2 linked regions of the Drosophila melanogaster genome follow. The protein of the gene in region 1 purifies or fractionates together with the protein of each later gene. This does not show direct contact. Each region holds a gene or a part of one and is shown on either strand. Other genes may lie near its edges. The genes, in order: CG13126 and bsf.

Evidence for each region.
Region 2: the proteins of CG13126 (region 1) and bsf purify together in Drosophila melanogaster (affinity purification with mass spectrometry, with the first as the bait; one large-scale study listed by BioGRID). This does not show direct contact.

The regions. Positions count from the first base shown.
Region 1 is NT_033779.5:9,951,531-9,956,063, reverse strand, and holds CG13126 (uncharacterized protein), read left to right. Parts: upstream 1-1,882; 5' UTR 1,883-1,970; coding exon 1,971-2,954; intron 2,955-3,016; coding exon 3,017-3,306; intron 3,307-3,365; coding exon 3,366-3,483; 3' UTR 3,484-3,992; downstream 3,993-4,533. Other genes in the region: CG4709 (uncharacterized protein), read right to left, coding at 1-490, 551-1,468, 1,530-1,550.
Region 2 is NT_033779.5:18,448,793-18,456,234, forward strand, and holds bsf (bicoid stability factor), read right to left. Parts: upstream 5,796-7,442; 5' UTR 5,695-5,795; coding exon 5,555-5,694; intron 5,126-5,554; coding exon 4,600-5,125; intron 4,534-4,599; coding exon 3,225-4,533; intron 3,169-3,224; coding exon 1,447-3,168; intron 1,384-1,446; coding exon 842-1,383; 3' UTR 725-841; downstream 1-724. Other genes in the region: ncm (nucampholin), read right to left, coding at 1-62; Ntf-2r (nuclear transport factor-2-related), read left to right, coding at 5,975-6,367.

The sequences.
Region 1 (4,533 bases):
GTAGTCGCTTCTGGAGCTGCGCATCTCCAGAATTCCGGTCCAGGGACTGTTTAACCTTGGCCATATCTCTTTGCTTTCGGCGGATTTCATCAGCAATTCGCACTGTTTCCACGTTAAGAGTTTTGGTTGAGTGCTGCTGTAGCTCGTTGGTCTTAGCTTTCTTGGTCACCTGCTCGCCTTGCTGAGTGCTTTCTCCAGGCCCCAAAACACTGTCGTTTAAGAATGTAAAGACATCCACACGTTGTGACTCACGGACGTAGGCCTTCTCATCAGCCTTTCGCTGTCGTCGCTGGGCGCGCTTTAGCTTTCGTTCCACGCTAAAATAATCCTTGTCCCCGTTGGCGGCCTCACGCAGCTCCATGCAGGCATCTAGAGATCGACCCTGGGGAAGTATCTGGGCGCTTACCGGGGTGACGATTCCCCTTCCATCTGAGCCAAGACCAGTACCATGGATGTAACCCATTTTCTCCATAAGCTTAGAGCCGATGCCCTATAGGGAATAGTATTTATAGGAATTTAAGTTTTCTGAATCGTAATCTGCTCAACATACCCGTGTGAACTCCTCCCAGGCGCCAAGTCGTTCCGTCGGCTTAAAGGTAAACAAACTCAACTCGACCATGCGTGCTCTTCTAGCTTCCTCCAGATCATCCATATCCGACTCCGCCTCGTCACTGCTGTTGTCGTTCATGCTGGAGTTGCTCTCCTCGCTGGAGAGCTCGTCATCCTCATCCTGATCGGTGGTAAGTGGATACAGTTCTTCGAACTTGAAGTCTCGTTCCCGCTCCTTGTGATCCTGCCCATCCAAGCGGACGCGGCATATCTGCTCTACGAAATTTACACAAAGGACACGACCTCGATGCCACAATCGATCTGGTAGCAGGGCAAAAACTGGACGACTGCGGGAGAGTTTGTGGAAATCGGGTGGATTATATTTTCTAATGGAGCTACCGGTGACAAGGGCGCCATGGGAAAAGCGACACTTGGCCTCATCAAAGCGGCACTCGCCTTCGAGGTAATACGAACAGGGCAGCATTTCTCGATGCGTGGGATTCGTAAAGAGAACCCTTAGTCGAGCATCCAAGACGCCTTCGCTGTTCATAACCACCTCGTCGTCCACTCCGCAGATGAGGGCATTGTGGTAGCAGGTGCCCCAACTGTGCTCGTGTGGTGCGGAGCACTTCTCGCCCACCATGGCGGTGTACTTGGTTCGCAAGTCAGCCAGCTGGCGTTCTTCATCCAACGCGGTTTGTGAGGAGCCGGCCGCCTCTAGGTCATTAAGTTCGCTTTTGAGCCGCTGCAGCTCATCATCCAGATTGTCGCCCTGCTGAGGTAGTTCATCGATTGGTGCTTCATCTCCTGATTCCCGGGTGAGGGCCAACAGCTCCTGCAGATTGTTCTTTAGGGCCAAAAGATCCTGGCGTTGCGCATCATCCGCGGCATTTTCCAATGCCTGCTCCACAACGAGCAACTGTTTGATGCAAGTATTTTCATAAAAATAGTTGGGATCTCATGTTATCACCTTTGCTCACTTGTGCTTCGTATTCTTCCATTATTCTTTAAATTTATTATTTACAACATAGTGCTGATGGCAAGTTTGTTTTCAGATTCTAAGGAGCAAGCACACAGTAGAGGTCACGGTTATAGTACTCTTTTTGTTCAATTGTTATGTTTTCTCGACTATTTTTGGTTGCTTTTTAAATTTATTTATATAAATTGCTTATATGGTTGAAGGTAGTAAAATTATTATTATTAAGACATATGTATATTAAGAATTCTATTAAATGTTAACTCAAACAGAAAAAAGATGCTATTAATATAGCCGAATCTGTGATTGAGGCAAAACGTCTGGCAGCACCGTCAGCTGATGGGACTGGAACTTTTACAGCACTGGCAAATCGCCGGTAAACTCGTGTGGCTCTCATTTGTTTTGATTTCTCGGTTACTTATTACTTAACTAATTAGAATTTAATATGAATTTTTCACTGAATTTCACAACGAGAAATCTAGTGCCACGACTGCACCGATTCACCAGCAAGATTGCAGTGGACGTTGAACCAGCTGTGGTCTCTGCCCTGGAACATGCCACACTGAAGCCCAGAAAACATCCCGGAGTAGTGAGACCCAATCATGTGGAACTGCCGAAACAATTGAATGATACGCTAAAGCGCATCGTGGGGGATCATCCCGTCAAAAAACTAATCCACGATGGCCAGCAGCTCAACGCCTATATCAAATCCCGCCATCCACCACCCACGCTGGAAGAGATTGAGAACAAGAAACGCATCGTTATCGAAGAGGTCAACACGAAGATGCCTCTGGATCGCCTAGCTACACTCGACGAAGACGAGGCGGAGCGTTGGAGGCGCAAGCGGGAGCTGGAGATCAACAAGAGGCTGGGTCAGCGTATCTACGCCTGGAAGCGAATAGAATATGGAGCATACGAGTCGCTTGTGTACGCCATAGCTCGTGGTGCCCAGGAGTACGCCGTGTTGAAGCGCGTTCTCACGGAGCTGGCGCAGCGGGATGAACAGTTTCGGCCACGAAGCTTCTTTGACTTCGGATCCGGCATTGGAACCGGTATGTGGGTGGCCAGCGAACTGTGGCGCGAACACATATTCGAGTACTACAACGTGGACAGGTCCAGGGAGATGAATGAGATATCAGAGCTCATTCTGCGCGATGGCCATGAGAACAAGCAAATAGCCCTGCGCAATGTATTTTATCGACAGTTCCTGCCCGCCATCGAAACCAATTATGATCTGGTCATTATATCTCATACGCTTTTTGAGTTGGAGAACAAAGAGCAGCGGGAGGATGTGCTGCGGAATCTGTGGCGGAAGTGCGATGGTTACCTGGTCATTGTGGAGGAGGGAACGCGCCGTGGCAGCGAGTTAGTCAACGAGGCTAGGCAATTTTTGTTGGAACAGGAACAAGAAGGTCACACTGTGGCACCAGTAAGTTTCAACGTATTTGCGATGTAAGGGTAGTAATCTAACTTATTTATACATACCTTTAGTGTCCGCATGATTTGGTCTGTCCTCGACTTCGGGATCTGGCCGATCGAACGCCCTGCAATTTTCCCATCTCCTACGCTCCCCTGCGTTTGGGTAGCGACTTCTTGGCAGACCGTCACACCTCCCTCTACAGTTATGCCATCCTGAAGAAGGGTTCCCAATCCGATAGCTCAAGCTCCTGGCCGCGCATTGTGCGTCCCACCTTGGTAAGGTCAAAGCATGCCATCTGTCGGCTCTGCACAGAAAAGGGCACTCTCCAAGAGGTTATCTTCACGAAGTCCAAGCACGGAAAGTAAGTAGAACCACAAAAGGCTTTTAAACTCCTCTTAAGCAATTGTATTTTCTCTGCAGGTCTGCCTATTCTTGTGCAAAAGTGAGTCGGTGGGGTGATCGTTTACCTATGTCGCTGGGACAGCCGCAAATCAAACAAGAATCAATCGAATCAGAGGAACCACCTGTTTTGGCGTAGTCTAAGATGTTGAACCAATTATATTAGGCATAAAGTCACGACCTGAAGCTAATTGATACTAAAACTGGCATCCAATTAGTTGACTTAATTATGTGCAAACAAATCGTTGCGGGTGGAGCTGAATTTAATTAAACAGTTGCATTTAAGTTAACCATACAATTCAAATGGCAAGCGAGCATGCTCATTGATACTAAATTTTGTTCAACGGCCAACACACCCTCATCTGGATTTTAATGTATGGCAAGACAAAAGGCGGATGCGACTGCGGATGGGTTGGCCCCGCCGGTTTGGATCGTTGTGTTATATAATGTCACCTGTATATAGGAGCCTTGGGCTGACCATTGGTCGGCGATTTCAGCACGCCCAGTGTTCATACATATAGGTGCCATACACATACTGCTTTCATTATGCGTTTTAGGTTTAAGTCTTGAATTTAAAAACGTATTTCATTTGTACAATAATGTTGTTAAATATATATTTAAATGCCAAAATACAAGTTTTGGCAAATCAAAGAGTCTCCTGTCTTTTAATTAGGGATAATAGATTTCTTAGTCGAAATGTCTGGACTGAATATCTGCGTTTCGTAAGCCAATCCCAGTTTGGCTGACATTTAGTTATGAGAGTTTCGAAGTCTTAATGGGAGACGCGCCCTTTTAACGACCGCGGATCATCCCCGTAGCCATTCATCGCACCTCGAAGTCCTGTGTGCCATCAAAGGACATTATGTGGTTGGAAAAGGCCAAAATGTGGGGCGCGAAATGTGGCTAGCCGATGGAAAGGGGAGTGGGTGCGGAAGGACTACTTCCATGTACATCGGGTTTTAGGGATTGGCTTTGGAACAAGGTGTGTTTCAGAGCAACGAGCCGTGGATACATAACAAGGGACTATCCTGTGAGACTTCGTATAATAGGGCTTATACTCTTCTATTAAACTTCATTTAGAGCAACTCATTGATCTAATCTTGTACTATAATGGCTGATAGTGAATTTTTCATCTTTATATACATTTTAAGTTATATAATAAATTCCCTTTGAATAATTAATGTCCGTC
Region 2 (7,442 bases), 8.5 Mb from region 1:
CTGGAAGTGTCGCTGCTGCTGGAATTGCTGCTCGAATCGCTCTCGGCATCGCTTTCCCCCATCGCGCGTTTATTTCGAGAAATTTTCAGGGAAAACAACGATGAAAATTATTGGGCAGCAAAAAACACAACGCGGCGATAGAATTAGAGATGGGACACCAGTGGCGACGGTATCGATATACACATGTGTTTGACTGCTAAATCGTATCGAAATTGTAGTTTCGATAGTCAGCTATAGAAATGCTAAATGTGTTTTTTAAATTGAACTGAAAATTTAAATTCAAGTTCCACATTAGAAAAAATGATATTTTAAAATTAATTTTATAATATGGCACTATCGTAAATTTTATAGCACAGCGAACCTCAATATTTAAGGGCAACGATTTTTTTACGACTAAAACAGTGTAATATATTTGTTATAACATATTTGGTTCATTGCACTGCAGAAATTTCGAATATCAGCTCGAAAATGGAACAAGGATATGGAACAAGAACATTAAATTTGAAACGAAACTTTTTTTTTTTAGCGATTTTTGGGCTCCAAAACGGGCAATCGTGTTTTACAACATCATGCGTGCTTCCAATTAATTTTAGGATCTGTCTTAAGGGAATGAATTGAACCATTATTTTATTGAAAATTAAAAATGATAGCTTCATCTTGAAAATAGTAAAAAAGATCCTTTATCGCTCAGTTGAATCCCCTAGAAAAATAACTGGCGCACTTTCGCAACAAAACAACTAAATTTATTTTAGTTTACAAATTGTTTATCCATAGTAAATACTTTAAAAATAAGCTTTAATCACGACGGCCTACACTAAACAAGGACCTTTTGCAGAAACCTCTAGGCCTTGCTGTCCGGTTTGGGTGGAACAGTTTCCGGTACCGATGGCGACACGTCGTCGTCGCTGGAGGATGAAGAGGAGGACGAGCTGGAGTCGTCGGCCTTCGTCCGCTTCTCGGGGATCGTGTAGGGGAACTTCTGGGATTTCTCCTCCACCGCCTGTTTCAGACGCAGCAGAGCTGTCCTGTTGATGTTTTCCAAGGATACGTCCTTAATGGCATTGGCCAAGACAACCATGGCCTTGTCGGAGTTGCCCTTGGTAGTCTGGATGTCAATGAGGCAGGAGTACGCGTTTCCGATCGCGCCCTCGGAGATTTTGCTGTTCTTCAGCTGGGAAATGACTGTGGAGGCGAGCTTCTCGTCCTGCTGCTCGCGAGCCGTCTGCAAAACGCGCTGGAACATCAGCCTTGGGGCATTGGACAGGTGCTTATCCCAAATCTCCTTAGAAGCCGCCTCCTGGCCAGTGGAAATCAAATGCATCCACAGGACATTCATGGGTCCTAGTTGATTGTGAGCAGCAAACTTCTCAGCGAGGGATTGATCTGAAAATTATCAGAAAAATTTATAGTTTTAACACTTGTTTAATAGGCATTTCTGGGACCTACATTGCGGCACCAATTCCGGGTGTTTTTCCAAAATGCCAACTGCTCCTCCGCGTGGGAACTTCTCAGCCAGCTTGGTTGACTCCTCGGGAGTTTTGGCCGCATCGATTTCTGTGGTCAAGTGCTTCAGGAACTCCTCCGCCTTTCCGGCCACTATATTGGCATGACAAAACCGATTGTCAAAGGAAATCAGACGCTTCTGCTCGTCATTCAGCTGCTGGCCAATTCTCTGCATTGTTTCCAGATCGCCTGCAGCGGCAATTTTGTTCAGGTAAAACTTGAAGATCTTGGGCTGCGGGTGCAGTTTATCGCCCAGGAGCTCCTCGACATACTTGGTGGCCTCCGTTAAGCGATCAGCTCGAACCAGGAGCTCGATCAGTCGAGAGGTGTCCAAAGCTCCAATTTTCTCGCCACTCAGAACACTTTGTTTATGCGAGATGGCTGCATCTGGATCATTGGCCTGGATTGCCTTGCGGAAGCCGGACAAATGGGAGGCGGTTTTGGGTGGCTTTGCTGTTTCCGTTTTAGCTGGCTCCTTTTTCGCAGCCTTCTCCTTGGGCTGTTCTGCTACTTTAGCTGTTTCTGTGGCTGCTTCTGTTGTCGTTGCATCTTTCGCTTTGCTTTTTTTGGCCTTGGCTTGTTCGTTTTGGGTCTCTGGCACCACAAAAGGCACGTCAATATTTTTCTTACTCAGGATTTCTGCCAATTTCAAAAGGAAAGCATCGTTTGGTGTCACATTCTCCTCCTGCATTTTAGTCCACAGTCCCAAAGCCTTCTCCGCCTCATCTGCCTTGTCGTAGCTCAAGAGGAGCGTGTAGTAAATCTTATTCCTGTCGATATGTCCCAGGTCCTTCGTGGCTTCAATAAGACCTTCCAGCGGTTGCAGTAGTCCCTCATTCTTGTAACGATCACAGGCACTGTTTATTCTTTGCGGACGGGTACGCAGTCCGGGGGTTTCCAGGATCTTCCTGGCCTGCCGCACACGGCCGCACTCCACAAAGGAGAAGACCAGATCGTAAAGGCTGTTTACTTCACCATGGATTCCAGTGCTCAAGTCTGTTAACTTTTGCAGATTGGCAGCATCTTCTTTCTGTATTAGACGGCAAGCCAGCTCGTTCTTCCAAGGCGTGGACTTATACTTCTGGCAAATCTCCTCGAAGGCTTCGATTGCCTTGGGAATATCATCCTTGACCAGGTGAACCTTGATCAGTGGACCCAGCAGCACATTGGTGGGCACAATATAATTGGCCCCCACCAGTACGTCGAACAATTTGCGCAGCCTCTCCGGCTGACCGGCCTCGGCTAGTGAGTTCAAAATTCTCCACACGGTGCTCATGTAATTATAGCTTCCTTCGGCCTCGGCTACGGGAACTTCCTTCTTGTTCTCCTCCAGTATCTTAAAAGCAGCATCCACGCGTTCCTCTTGCAAGAGAAGATCAGCCAGTCGAACCGCCTTCAAGTTATCCAACTGGAAAGTGGCGTCCTTTGCTTTAAGTTTGCCATAGATTTCTAAGGCCTCAGAGCTTTTCTTGTGATGCGTGTTCAGATCGATGAGCTGGGCATAAATGCCAACGGGGATTTGGAATTTTTCGGCCTCGAGTTTCTCGATGACCTGGAGGGTCTTCTCCAAGTTTTGCGAACGGAAACAGGCGTTGAGGAGTTGCCTCTTGATGTTGTTGGCATTTTCTCCCTTGCCCTCCACATTCACAATGAATCGCTCGAGTTCTGAAAGAAAATATATAGATATTAGATAAGTATTTTAATAACATCTAACAACTTACCATTGATGGACAGCGAATCCAGGCTTCTCTTGCCGCTGTTTGGAAGAGGAACTGGCTCCAGTTCTCCCGAGCTAAGTTTACCCAGAAGTTCGGAAATCTTTGGAGTCAGTTCGGAACCCAACTGCTCGGATAGTTGGGTGGCTTTGTCACTGCTAATGGACAAGCCCTGCTTGACCAACCCTTTGAGGATTTTCTCCAACGTGGCCCCGCGATCGCGGCGGAAATAGGTGGTTGCCTCCTGGACTATTGCACCTACAACATCGGGAGTGATGCGCTCCGTCGGAACGGCAGCCACGCCTTCTACCTGCTCAACTTCCTCATCCTTGCCTTGCCTGAATTGCAATCCTTCGTGAATTTGGCGGACACATCGGATGAAGGAGGCATAATCGTTCGTATGGCTGAGGGCCAGAATCAAAGGTTGTTTGAACAAGAAGGGCACGTAGTAAGCTCTGTTCTTCTCCATAATCTTGGCTGCTTCGGCAATCTGGTGGGTCACTAATGCGGAGTAGACGGCCGAGGTGACAGCAGTGGAGTTGGGAACCCCAGCATCCCTCAGAGAGGTGACGATTCTTTCCCAGTTCTTTTCCTTCAAGTTGGGAATGACATAATCTCTGACCGTTTCGGAGTTGGGGAAAACTGAGAACTCCTGCTGCATGCGACGTACGATTTCCAAGACTTGATTAGATTCCGCGGAACAGATCAAAGGCCAGAAGTAGTGCTGCCTGATGGGCAAGCCAGCATTTTTCATTTCCTGCAGCAAGGGAAGCGCATTATTGATTACGCCATTGGTCAAGCCAGCTTCGGTGGCAATAGTCAGAGCCTTGGGATTAAGCCCCTCTGATTGCAGGCTCTTGCAGATGGACAAGATCTTCTCCACTGGCCGATTGGCCTTAACCATCTGCCTGATGAAGAAAGCTCCCACATCAACGGGCTCACCGTTCACACGACTGCTCCTTGGCATCACGCGAAGGAGCTTCAGCCCCACATCCTCGTGTCCCTTGTTGACCAGCCGAAGGATCACGTTCACTGCATCCTGATTAAAACCAGGCGAGAGACGAAGCTTGGTCAGAACGTCATCCACGTGTTCACCATTGCCGTTGACGGTAAGAGTGTACACAATGTCCAGCAGATCCTTGTCCAGCAAAATGATCTCCTTCTGCTCACACTCAGCTAGGGTTTCCTTTACGGCAGCCAGGTCTCCGTGGCGCGCAAAGGCGCACAGGAGAGTGGTGTAGGTGTCAGCACTGGGCTCCAAGCCGGCCTGCATCATCACTCCCAAGATACCCTTGGCGGACTCCAAATCATTGGCCTAAAGAATCGTTTAAAAAGTAATTTAAAAACATGGCTACCACCTATCTATTTCTGTATGACTAACCTGCGAGTGACCCAGGATAAGTGAATTAAAGACATTTTCGTTGACGGGTAGACTTTTGGCGCGCATGAATTCCAGAATCCTAGTGGCTCCTTCAATGTCTCCCTGCTGACAATAGCGAGCAATCAATCGCTGATAGGTCACCCTATTGGGCTCGATGCCCTTCGCCTCGATCTCTGCCAGAAAATCGGTGGGAGCAAACCCATGCTCGTTCTCCAGGTAAACGCGAAGCAGGGCATTGTAGTGCGAGATGTCCATGGGTACATTCAGCGCATTCAGCGTCTTCCAGATCTCCTGCACCAAGGCAGTTCTGACCTCGGGAAGCTCCTCCGGTACCAGGTTGCCGCAGCAGCGAATCACCAGCAGCGATTGCGAGCTGGTGGCCGTCCTGTGTGAGCGGATCTCATCGAGCACCTCCTCCAGATCGCGTCTGGAGATGCGCCCAATGCGACGAACATCCTGGTCCAGCCGGCGAATCTGTTTATCCAAACTCAACTCAGCTTTGGCCGCCGCATTCGTGGCAAAACCACTAGGAAGATAATTAAAAATAAACTTAATTAATATATAAAGATATATGAATTAACAAAATCCTAACGTCCTTATAGATTATTTTCCGGCTGACCTTAATGAGAAACTGAGTTGTTATAAGATAATCGTGTTGCTTTTTGAATAAAAATAAGATATTTAGCTTCTTTCTACATATATAACTAGACTTTCTACAAGAAAAACGCTCGACTAAGGCCAAAATTGGATGAGCACATAGTAGGCGCTCCAAATCCGGATGAGGTTATGTAAATATGTGAGACATCAGTCGAATGCAACTGCGATGATCCCAAGTGGCGGCACGTGCGCCTCTTTTCGGGATTCAATCGCTGGAAAGTGGACGATTCCCCACTAATCACGTAAATACATGAGCACATTGCGTAATGCCGGCGATTTGGGGCCAGATTTTACTCACTTTTGGAACTGGCCGCACATGCAGGGCGCATTGTTCAGCAGATTGCTCGTCTCGTTCTCGCGAACCGAGTTCACCAGCACATTGCGTGTGAAGCCGGCGAAGTAGCGCAGCAGTTTGCCCGTCCTCAGGATGGATGCCATGGCGGAATCGTTCGGTTTTAATTAATAAATGAGCTTATTATTAAAATGACGTTCGCACGAGTGCGGCTGAAACCGATGTCTCTTCGCGCCTATCGATGTTTACCTGCGACAATCGATTGTTTTCGGTGGGACCAAAACGTTCAAATCAAATGTATCAGCTTAGCGGTGACACAAACGAGAGGATATTTGAACAGTGCCTAAGCCTGTCAGCTTAACCGATTTAATTTGCTTTTTTTCGGATCGGAAACTCTAATCGTACCCCGTATATACTTGAACTAAAATGTCTCTGAATCTGCAGTACGAGGACATTGGCAAGGAATTTGTCCAGCAGTACTACGCCATATTCGATGACCCGGCGAATCGGGAGAACGTGATTAATTTCTATAACGCTACCGACTCTTTCATGACCTTTGAAGGCAACCAAATACAGGGAGCACCCAAGATTCTGGAAAAAGTTCAGAGTCTGAGCTTTCAGAAGATTGCCAGAGTGATAACCACAGTGGATTCGCAGCCAACTTCCGATGGCGGAGTTCTGATCATCGTCCTTGGAAGACTAAAATGCGATGACGATCCCCCACATGCATTCTCGCAGATCTTTTTGCTGAAGCCCAACGGAGGATCCCTCTTCGTGGCTCACGACATCTTCCGTCTGAACATCCACAACTCTGCCTAGGAGCACTCCAGACCCATATGTACACCACACATAATCGACATCCAAAGACGCCCAGCGCCTAATAGTGATAACATGATAACAACAGCACGGCAGTGGGACTCAGAAAAAAGCAAAACAAAGCCAGCCAACGGTCTCAAGATCGTCAGCGAATACAAAAGTTAATACAAGACAAACAAAAAAATAATTAAAAAAAGCTTAGGACTTTTATTTTGAAAACTTTTTCGAGAAATAAAATAGAAACAAATCTTTTCCCAATTCACAAATAATGGGTCACATTGGAATTTTGAAGCAATAGTCTTTAATATTTGTAGTCTTCATACGATGCATGTTTTATTCTAGCTTAATTTTTCGGAGCTGTCTTTGTGTTTGCAATGCCAAAAGTGCGCTGTAAATGCACCGCAAAGAAAGAGAACAATCCACCTGACTAAGAGAAACTGCATGCTCCCTATTCATTTGCTGCTATTGCGGAGCGTCATTTCTGCAGCAGACGCCGCCGTTGACGTCGGCGTCGACGTAGCTTTCTTTTGTGGCGAATTTGGAACTGGAAATTGCATTTCATTTGCAAACGTATCGTTGCACACGGCGGTTCGCGAATCGCGCTTCCTCTTCCCGCTGCAGCTGTGTGCGTGTTGTGGTGTACTCGTATTGGCAGCGCGTATGTGTGTGCGTAACTACACTGCAAATTGTGACGGATTCTTGTGTTCCTCAGGGGGAAATAACTTGCGTTTGACAGGTGCGATCTAGTGTGCCGTCTCAAAAATGAAAAAAAACGATGTCTGGTTGCATTCTCTATTTGCGCCACTGGTAAGCGAGAAAATTGATTAAAATGCACATTACAAAGGGGGAAATATATTTTAAAAAAAATATGTAGCTTAAATCTTAAGTATTCCCGTGTGTGTGTGTGTGTGTGTGTGTGACAGAGAGAACGAGAAGGAGAGAGAGAGAGAACGAGAGAGTGCAGCCAGAAATTGCAATACACACAAACAAATTGCCACGCAAAAAGCGGCCGGCTTGCCCTCCCCCTTCCCTCCGCCATTGCTGCCCCCCCCTTCGTCCATCCCTTTGTATGTGTGCA